2 linked regions of the Caenorhabditis elegans genome follow. The protein of the gene in region 1 interacts with the protein of each later gene in a pairwise test. Each region holds a gene or a part of one and is shown on either strand. Other genes may lie near its edges.

Region 1 (4,282 bases):
TTGTTCAGTTTTGTGGTAGAGAATCTTAAGTTGCAATTTCTACTGGGTAAGACATTGTTTGCAAAAGAGCCAGGGTCAGTGGTGTAACAGGGATTGGAGGAGGAAGTGAGGGTAGAAAATGAAATGCTTGAGGTACAGGCTGAAAGCATCAGAATCTCAGTTTATTCAAATTTAAATTTAACAAATAATTGATGTAAACATAATGGCAACTGCCCTATTGTTGAATTTGAGCCAAGAATAAAATTGGCAGAATCCATAAGTTTACATTTCCAGTCTGACTTGAAAGTAGCATGTTGTTCCAAATCGGGATAAGAGACGTGATTTGGAGTGAAATTAGTTATTCTGACACAAAAAATACGCACAATTCCTTAAATTTCAAATTTTCAAATCTTAATTTCCGTGCGCACCCCGACCAAGAGAAGTGAAACGTTTCTGCAAGCGACCAAAATAGCGTCAATAAGCTCTACTTGACGCGTTTATTGCATTTATTTTCACAAGTATTCTATACGTACATTTCTTTCTCTTATCACACAAGAAATACACAATTCTAGCCAAACTGATAAAGCCATCATTTTTTGTTCATAAATCGATAGATAAGAATGAACTTGTTTAATCAATCGACTCCGGTAACGAATTGCACGTATTTTATTGTATCAAAATAATGAATTTCGCTCCAAATCAGGTTCTCAATCCCGATTTGGTACAACTGTTACTTGCAAGTCAGACTGGAAATGTAAACTTATGGAATCCTGCCAATTTTCTTCTTGGCACAAATTCAACAATAGGACAGTTGCCAGTACGTTTACAGCGATTATTTATTAAATTGAAATTTGAATAAACTGAGATTCTGATGCTTTCAGCCTGTACCTCAAGCATTTCATTTTCTACCTCCACTTCCTCCTCCAATCACTGTTACACCACTAACCCCGGCTCTTTTGCCAACAACGTCTTACCCCGTGGAAGTTGCAACTGAAGATACTGCACCACATATCAAAACTGAAGAACCTGATCCACAACCATCAACATCTGAACCATCAATAGCATTTGAAATGGGCACAATCCCAGCTTCCACTTATTATCCTACACATTTCATGCGTGGTACTCAACTCAACGTGGCAAATGGAAATATCAAAAAAGTGGAAGATTTGTCATCTGATGACTTTCTCAGATGTGCTGCAGAATCAGATGATGTTATTGTCAATGCTTCTGTGATCAAATCTATTAAATCAACAGCTGGAAGTGTTACTATTATTTTTGAAACTGGAATTGAGAAACAACTAGTAATAACTAAATAATTTTGTAATTTCTGAGAATATATCAACGGTTGTTCCAGATACCATTGAAGTGTCAAGTCGAGCACCCATTCTTTGTATTAGGGAAAGGTTGGTGCAGCTGTAATCCTCGGAAAAGTGGCGAGAACTATGGTTTGGATTGTGAAATTCTCCAGGTAACCAGTTGTTGCAATTTCTCCCAATTTCAATATTCTCAGGTAGATGATGTGTGTATTGTGTTGACACGAAATGAAGACAAAATAACTGACTGTGCTGTTGATATCGTAACTGCAGAACGAGATTTAGAGTTATTCAGCCAGCGGGCGGCACTCAAAGAACAACTTGTTGATGTTTATTATGAGGTATACATGGGATAAGTTACTGTATAGGTACTGTATTTTTATTATTTCAGCGAGTTTCTGGCCGAGTTTCAGCACCACCGGAGAGAGTTTTGGTGACTTTTTCGAACGAACATCGCGAAAGAAGGATCTCGGAATAATTTAATGTTATGTTTTTATATATTCTCTACTAATAAATGTTCGAAATAATCATACCCAAAGGCTTACAATTCTCGGAACAAAATTGTCTCTACAATTGAGGAATGCTGCGCGTCAACTATGTGGTTTGATGTGCATTGTGACGTGAGGGTGTCTGCACTCTTTTCTTGTCTCGCTGCAACGCTGACGCTTGTGACTGGTCTCTATTTCTTTATTTCTCTGCTGCATTTTCGGTGTTCGACGGTAACCGATATTAACCGATTTGTTTGAAAAAAACTCGACTCGCTCGAGTTCTCTTGAAAATGCCTGGTCCGATTCTTAAAAAGTGTTTTAATTGTCGTGTAGCACTTCCTGAAGACGCCATTAAGTAAGTACACTTTTTCTGGATTTTTCAAATGAAAAACTATAATTATAAATTTTCAGCACAGCTCAATGCCAAAAATGTCAGAAGAATGAGGCAAAATACGGAAAGGTGAGTGTAAAAGTTTAATTTTCATGTCGATTTAATGTAATTTTTATCGTTTTAGCCCGGAACATGTCAATATTGTAAACTGAATGCTGCTTTTCACGACCAAAAATGTGTGTGGTGTTCACATGCAGAAAGAAAGTTCGGAAACCCGTTCCCATGTGCTAATTGTAAATTGAGTTGTGCATTTCCAAGAAGAGAAAGTGATAAGGTGAGATCGTTTTAAATTTTCTTGTTCCCCCTTTTGCCTTATCACCAACAAATTTTAATTTCATGTTTTCCAGGTCGAAGGTGCTGCATTGCTCTGTCGATTGTGCATTTTACAAGCTCGTCATACGAATCAAACCGTTGTAGCAGGAATTCCAGTGCCACCTGAGAAGCCAGAAAGATCAGGAGAAGGATCCTCAACAGAGCAGAGAGATCGAGATCATCGTCAACACCGTCCAACATCTCATCATCATCGAGATCATAAAGACCATCATCGACGAGACGACAAACATCATCACCGCGATTCCAATCATCGTCATGCTCACAAACGGCGACACCAAGAAGAGCCCAATAATAACAGTAACAACGGAACATCTTCGTCTGGTGGAGCTCCACCTCTAGTTCCAAACAATGAAAATGGAAATGGATTCCCTCCATTCGGAGATCGTGATCCCGGAGAGAGTATGGTGAAGCAACAGAAAATGGAAGACGAGATTCGCCGACTGAAAACATTGCTCGCTGAAAAAGATCAACTTATTTTTGATAAGGATAAACAAGTATGATTTATATTCCAGTTTTAGATTATTGATTGAAACATTTCAGATCAGCAATTTAAAAGCCGACCAATACAATCTGGATAAAAAGCATCGCGAACGTGTCCAACAACTTATCAAAGAAAAAGAAGACAGTATTCGAGCAATCGAACAAATGCGAAATTCGAAAAGTTCTAAGAGGAACTGATGTCAATTGAATATAAAACTATTCCTTGTAACTATTTTTATTAAGCTACCAGTTTTCATAATTGAAAATCAATTCTTCATGCCATATTTCGAAATTTTGTGTTCGAGTTTTAAATCAAAAATTAATATTTGGTTCGTGAGCTAATATCTTTTTTAAAATGAAATTATCTTTTCATTGTATTATTCACCTAATATTTACTTCAATTTGATCCAAAGTGCACCTTCCCCCTATCGCTCTCCCCGGTTGACCCGGCATCCCTTTCACTCGTCTTCTAATTACAATCTTTGGACGTAGCTACTTCTATTAACCTACTAAATTTGTTATAGTGTACCCATTTTCTGTCACTGTCATCAATGCCTGTCTAGTTTGATAATCTGTGAGATAATTTTTCTACAAGTCTGTAACATGTTTTTTTTAAATTTTACTTTTTTTGAGATTAGTCTTTTTTTCGAGTCTTTGAATTTTTCATACAATAAACTGTTCTCGTATAGCCTTGACTGTTTTTAAATCTATAGCATAATACATACGCTTTATGGCAAAATTACAGGAGAACTATGTTTTAAATTTAAAGTAGACCTGATTACGCGACATCTCTGGAATCTTTTTTGACCTACGGGCGCAGGCGCGACGATTGCGGAAACATAATTTCAACTGCGTACTAATGAAGAGATGGAAATGCTTATTTTTTGTGATTTCTAAACTTTTGAATCTTCATCATGACCACCGAACGTGTTCTCCAGTATCCGAATTTGTTAAAAATCGTCCCATATCTCAGTTACAGTAAGAGGTTCGTTAATTTTTTTTTTCTGATTAAAAACAGTGAAGCATTACATTTTTTTATAGAATGGAGCTTTCGAAAGTTTCTCCAGAATTTCGATCAATTCACAGTCGATTAGACTATTCACTGAAGACTATGTCATTCTCTCAGGATTACGGAGCAATCAGTGAAGAAGGACCAATAGAAGTAGGATCAGGAATTTTGAAGGTGGAGTCAATTGAATATATTTTTGAATACGATGAGAACATGGATCAAGTGAAAATCAAATGTTTGTTGGCCCCGGAACTTGTGAGATTCTCGAATGATAAGTCAATAATCAGAA
Region 2 (5,399 bases), on another chromosome or scaffold:
CAAAAATTACTATACTTTTGGTTTACCAGTTTTGATTGATTTTTAACCATTCCTTTTTACAAACAAATTTTTTAAAGAAAATACTTTCCAAATTAAACATTATTTAAAGTACGCTCTTTATCAGGGAAAACAAGGACGCAGGCAACAAAAACAGCAAACTAATTCCACTGATCCGCTTCAAATGGGGTAACTCAATGCTTCCACAAGCCGCCACAGAAGTTTCGGATACTTGGTTTGAAGCTCTCAGTATGATTCAATGTATGGCAATGTGGCTCACAAAGCATGCTGCGTCGATGGCTGGAAAGGATGAGGTACGAGAATCTGATGCAAAGGAATGTCTTCAGTGTTTGAGACAAGCAGGTGGAATGTTCCAATATGTGAAAGATGAATCATCACGACTTTCCGGTGCCAATGAAGTTGAAGGCTCAGATTTTGATCCGAAAGTTATGGAAACGTATATTTTGACTGCCACAGCAGAAGCACAAGAGGTCATTGTAGCTAGAGCTATTGAAATGAAACATGATGATGGATTAATCTCATCGCTTGCTGCTGTAACTGCATCGATATTCTCAAAAGCTGATCAATGCCTGAATAATTTGCCTGATGAGAGTTTTGCGAGATGGAGAAGATATCTGCAATTGAAGCATCATTTCTATTTGGCGTATGCTTTTGCCTTCCTCGGACAGAAACAACTATCAGAGGATAAATGTGGAGAAGCTGTGAGAGCTTGTAAGCAAGGAATTGCTGAGTATGGAGTTGCTAAAGAAATGGCAGCAATGTATGCAACTGCAACTGGTCCTGGAACTCGTATCAAGCCTGAGCAACACTTGTTCTTCAGAAGAATCGAGCCATTGCTCAATCGACATTTGGAAAAAGCGGAGCGAGAAAATGGATTCATCTATCATCAAAAAGTTCCAGATGAGATTCCTCAATTGGATGTAGAAGCAACATATGGATTGGCTAAACTTGATTCGTTTACCTATCCTCCACCAGCGGAATCATGGAATACGGCAGTTTATTCCGCTTTTGATTTGTCCAAAGCAAATATGCCAGATTTTTCAAAAATTAAAAAGGTAGGCGCGTCGATTTTTTAAAAACTAAATTAAACTAATTACATAACAAATATTTTGAGTTCTGGAAAAACGTGTTTCAATTTGAAACGCTCAATTTTTATTTCCGTTCTTGCCTTCTAAAGTAAAAATTGGATATAAATTCAAAAACAGCAAATTCAAAAATTGAGCGTTTACCAAAAATACAATTTTGACAATAAAATCCGTTCAAAAAAAGCGAAAACATGCAATTTCCGTTAGTTTGATCTAAAAAAAACAACAGATAATTTGAACAGTATACGGATTTATCAAATGTTAACACATTTACAAGGAAATTTTTTTTCATTTTTCATTTCCAAAAAATCTAGGAAACATTCGAATTTGTCATACTAAAACTCCTTTAAATTTCTTCCTTAAAACATTCGACTTAAAAAATGCATTTATTAAAAAGAATAAAGCATTTAAACTGTTGTAATCACTAATTTCAGAGCAAGTCAAAGCTTGATCCAGTTCACGAGGAGAAAATCTACCAAACAGAAAAGGATCCCAGCAATTCCAGTGGATGTGTGATTGCCTAATAATTCGAGTCTTTGTACATTACTGTTCTTCACTATTTTATTTTTAAACATTTCCATTTCCCCTTACAACCATGCCCATTTGTATGCAATGTTTCCAATTTTAGCTGCACGCGTTCTCATTGATGCTGGATGATATACATAAAAATGTACATGTTGTTGACACGATTGAAGACAGTGACCAAATATAACGGTCAGTTGAGCATGCGGCTGAATCAACCAACAGGTGTGCCAACATTCAAAGGGCGGTCCTTTGGGGCAGATCGGATATAGCTGGAGATTTTAGTTTCAGTCAGTAGCAATGCGATCCCGTCGGCTAGTCATCCTGTCAATTTTGTTATTTCTCATTGGAGTTGTCAGCGCTAGAACAGCGTCTGGAAGAGGATGTACTCATTCAATGCAATGTGGTAGAGGATTCTTCTGTCAAGAAGGCGCTTGTAGGAAAGATTCGTGTTCCAATGATTTACAATGTGACGAGGTATCGTTTTTTTTTAACTTCTAAGTATTAAAATGCGCGGAGATTCATTTAAACGTATTCTAGGGTGAAGAGTGTCGCCCTGGCAATGTTAACGGACGACAGAAATCCGGATGCTTCAAGTCACTTGTCCCGAAATCGGCATTGGGAGGAACATCGGAAGATTTTTGTCCAGGAGGAGGTGCACTTGTCCTCTCTCCTACTGGAACTCTGACAATCTGCGATTTGACTGAAGACTGCCCATCAACTCACATCTGTAATCCAGTGCATGGAGTTTGTTGTACAAGTAAGAAATCGTATTGATTATAAAATTCTCGTTGGAAAAAAAAGGGACCACGTTTTCAATAAAACGTAAATATTTCAGGACATGGTTATTCATTTTGAAAAATTAAATGAGGATCCTCATTATCAAATTAACCGGTAAAATTTACATTCTTCAGAACTACCAACCTGTCCAAAAACTAAGAAAACCATGGTTAACTTCATAACTGGCAAACCTATTATGTGCCAATTCAAACAAGGAAGAGTAATGCCATGCCCTGAGAATGGTTTCTGTGAGACTACAACTGGATTCTGCTGCGTCCCAGGTGTAGATGTTGAGCCCCCAGTCGTCGTTACCCGTGCACCAGCAATCATTGAAAATGAACGTCCGTGGCGAGGACAAGTGTGCTCTCCACAATCTGGATGTTCTGGTGGAGCAGCTTGTATCTGTGGAGCCCGTGGAAATTGTATGTGTGAGTGTGCCACAGACTTTGGATACACACTTGCTTCCGATGGAAAAACTTGTCAAAGAGTTAGAAGACGTCTGAAAGAAAAGTGTAAGACTGATATGGAATGCTCTGCTGCATTTTCAGAATGCTCTTCAGGAGGATGTAGATGTAAGAGAGGTTTCAAGAGAAATGGTGATGGAGGTTGTGAACCCCTTGGTGAGTTTTTTTCAGCACAAATGTTTTTATCAATTAGATATCAATCAAACTTCATTGAAACTAGTTCATCTCAGAAAATTGCAGAGTACCGATGTGTCAACAAAGCAGCTCCCCTAAAACGAGATGAAAAGCTTATCACATGCTCTCTCAAAAACTCTCTTCTTTCGAGTGTCTCCACCAGTTTCAGAAGCCTGAAAAAGTCAGAAAATGGAAGTGATATTAACGATGCCGAATTTGAACGTCTAATGAAAGGAATTCAAAATGGAACTCTTTTGGATTTTGGAAATGAAAGAGATGATTGTCCAGATGAGCATTATTGTGTTCCTGTGTTCGATGATGCAAGTAAACCCGGTTATTATAAGGGATTTTGTTGTCCGTCTCCATCCGAAATTCGCCCAACATGCCCTGTGGGAGAACCACATGAATCGTCATATCCTCCAGACTATGGATGTAACAAATGTCCCGTAGATTATTACTGTCATAGGGATTCTGTAGCCACCGAGAAATCTGTATGGTTTTCAAAATCTCAAACCCCTTTGAAAGAATATCTAAAATTTCAGATTTGCTGTCCAAAGCCTTGTGTTTCACTCGAAGACATCTACCACGAAGGCCAGTGCTTTTCAATGGCGTACTATGGAGACAGCTGTCACATTTCGTCGCAATGCGTCTACTCAAAGAGTCCCGACGCCGCCGAAGAGTACGCTGAAGTTGCAAAAATGGAATGTGCCAGAAGTATTTGTTCGTGTCCAGCAGGTTTCAGTTATGCTGACGGACAGTGCAAAAGAATTATGTGCTCAATTGGCCTAAGAGGAGAACCATCAGTAGACAAGTCAGGGCAATTAATTCGTTGTGAGAGATCCAGTGATTGTAGTATGGGTCATATGTGTGATCCAAATACCCATGTTTGCTGCAAGGGAACTAACAGTAAGTGACTTCCAAGGAAATTTTATTTTGAAAAATTGTTCAATGCATTCCTTCTTGAAATCAGTATATGAATATCTGTTTCAGTTATCACAAGATTAACTAGCTTTGCAAAAGTGCAAACAATAATTAGAGTTATTTTATAATTCTGCTGCCACAACACCCTTATCAAATTACAAACTATAATCATAGAAAGCAGAAAACTAATGACATATTTTTGGGATTTTTCTGTAAATCCATAAATTGTTCTACCAATGTCTAAATTTTTAGAGATCTTCATTTTTATTGAATTATTACTTCAGGATGTCCAAAGGATTATGTTGAGACCGGAGAGCAATGCACAGATGACAATTGTCGTGGAATAAACCAAATCTGTCACCGAACCAAAAATGGCAAAGCCAAAATCTGTTGCACTTATGATGATGTGACAATGTCTGCCATGCGGGATGCCCTGAATTCAACAACAATGAATCTGTAAACTACATTCGCTTTGTAAAATCCCTTCTCTATATTGTTCACCCCTCGTTTTCCAACTCTTCTTGTTTGTACATTTTGGACGTGCTTCCCTTTTCTTTTTCCTCTTTTCACCAGTAGCCACCAACACCACCACCTCTTTAATAAATCCTTACATGACTCTCTTCTCGTCGTGTGCCATCCTCCACATTTGCTTCTTGTATCCTGTTGCTCTTCCTCATCGTCGTCATAGCGACTGGAGAGGATTCTGGAGAGAGGAAGCTGAAAAGGAGAGCGGACACACTTGGAAAATACGGATGAATGAGTAATCAGGGATGAATAGTGGATGAATGGCCAAGGGGAAGGCCAAAATGTCCTCTGTCTTTATCATGAATTCTTCTGAAGAAACCTGAAAAGCAGTGCTTCTAATAAACGGACCAATTCGTGACATGACCCTTAAAAATATTTTTCTGATGTTGTCGGTGGTGACATCTTCTCGGAACCCCCTGTGGCCGAGAGTGAATAAATTAGAGAAGAAGAAGACGAAGATGGCTTGTTGGAAGACGGGACGAAAACGAAAAAAAAAGAAGCGGAGGAGAGGAGGGCTTTTCGAATTCTGGAGCTCTTTTTCGCCTTCTCAACTACACACTCGTCATTTAGTGGTGAGGAGATGGAAATAGGGGGAATGAAGTCATCGTTTTGGTGGTCGTCGAGATGGAAGAAGAAGGCCATCTTTCCTGGAATGGACGAAAGTGAGCTAAAGTGAAAGAGCTCGGCTTTCAGTTTTTTTGTTGAACGATGGTGAAGCCATTCTGTGAGAAATACCTTCTGCCATTTTTAAAGTTTACATGAACGCTTACATTTTGAATATTTCAATCTTCAAACAGTTCAAACAAAACTTCAATCTTAGAGTCGCTAATGATAGTTATCTTATAAACAATTTGGACGTCCAAGGAATTTTTGATTCCCAAATATAAGTTATAACCGTGTTATAAGAGTA

The links.
Region 2: the proteins of K04F10.7 (region 1) and B0507.1 interact in a two-hybrid assay, tested with the Caenorhabditis elegans proteins (one large-scale study listed by BioGRID).

Annotation. Positions count from the first base shown.
Region 1 is NC_003279.8:6,364,408-6,368,689, forward strand, and holds K04F10.7 (Protein FAM76A), read left to right. Parts: upstream 1-1,923; 5' UTR 1,924-2,070; coding exon 2,071-2,135; intron 2,136-2,191; coding exon 2,192-2,240; intron 2,241-2,295; coding exon 2,296-2,445; intron 2,446-2,518; coding exon 2,519-2,998; intron 2,999-3,044; coding exon 3,045-3,182; 3' UTR 3,183-3,671; downstream 3,672-4,282. Other genes in the region: K04F10.1 (AXH domain-containing protein), read left to right, coding at 662-796, 861-1,280, 1,334-1,447, 1,490-1,633, 1,684-1,770; ZC308.4 (F-box domain-containing protein), read left to right, coding at 3,899-3,969, 4,026-4,282.
Region 2 is NC_003283.11:8,774,735-8,780,133, forward strand, and holds B0507.1 (EB domain-containing protein), read left to right. Parts: upstream 1-1,835; 5' UTR 1,836-1,850; exon of another isoform or gene 1,851-1,896; intron 1,897-1,910; 5' UTR 1,911-1,925; coding exon 1,926-2,102; intron 2,103-2,165; coding exon 2,166-2,385; intron 2,386-2,539; coding exon 2,540-3,025; intron 3,026-3,109; coding exon 3,110-3,534; intron 3,535-3,585; coding exon 3,586-3,949; intron 3,950-4,248; coding exon 4,249-4,424; 3' UTR 4,425-4,584; downstream 4,585-5,399. Other genes in the region: B0507.2 (BRO1 domain-containing protein BROX homolog), read left to right, coding at 125-1,073, 1,538-1,627.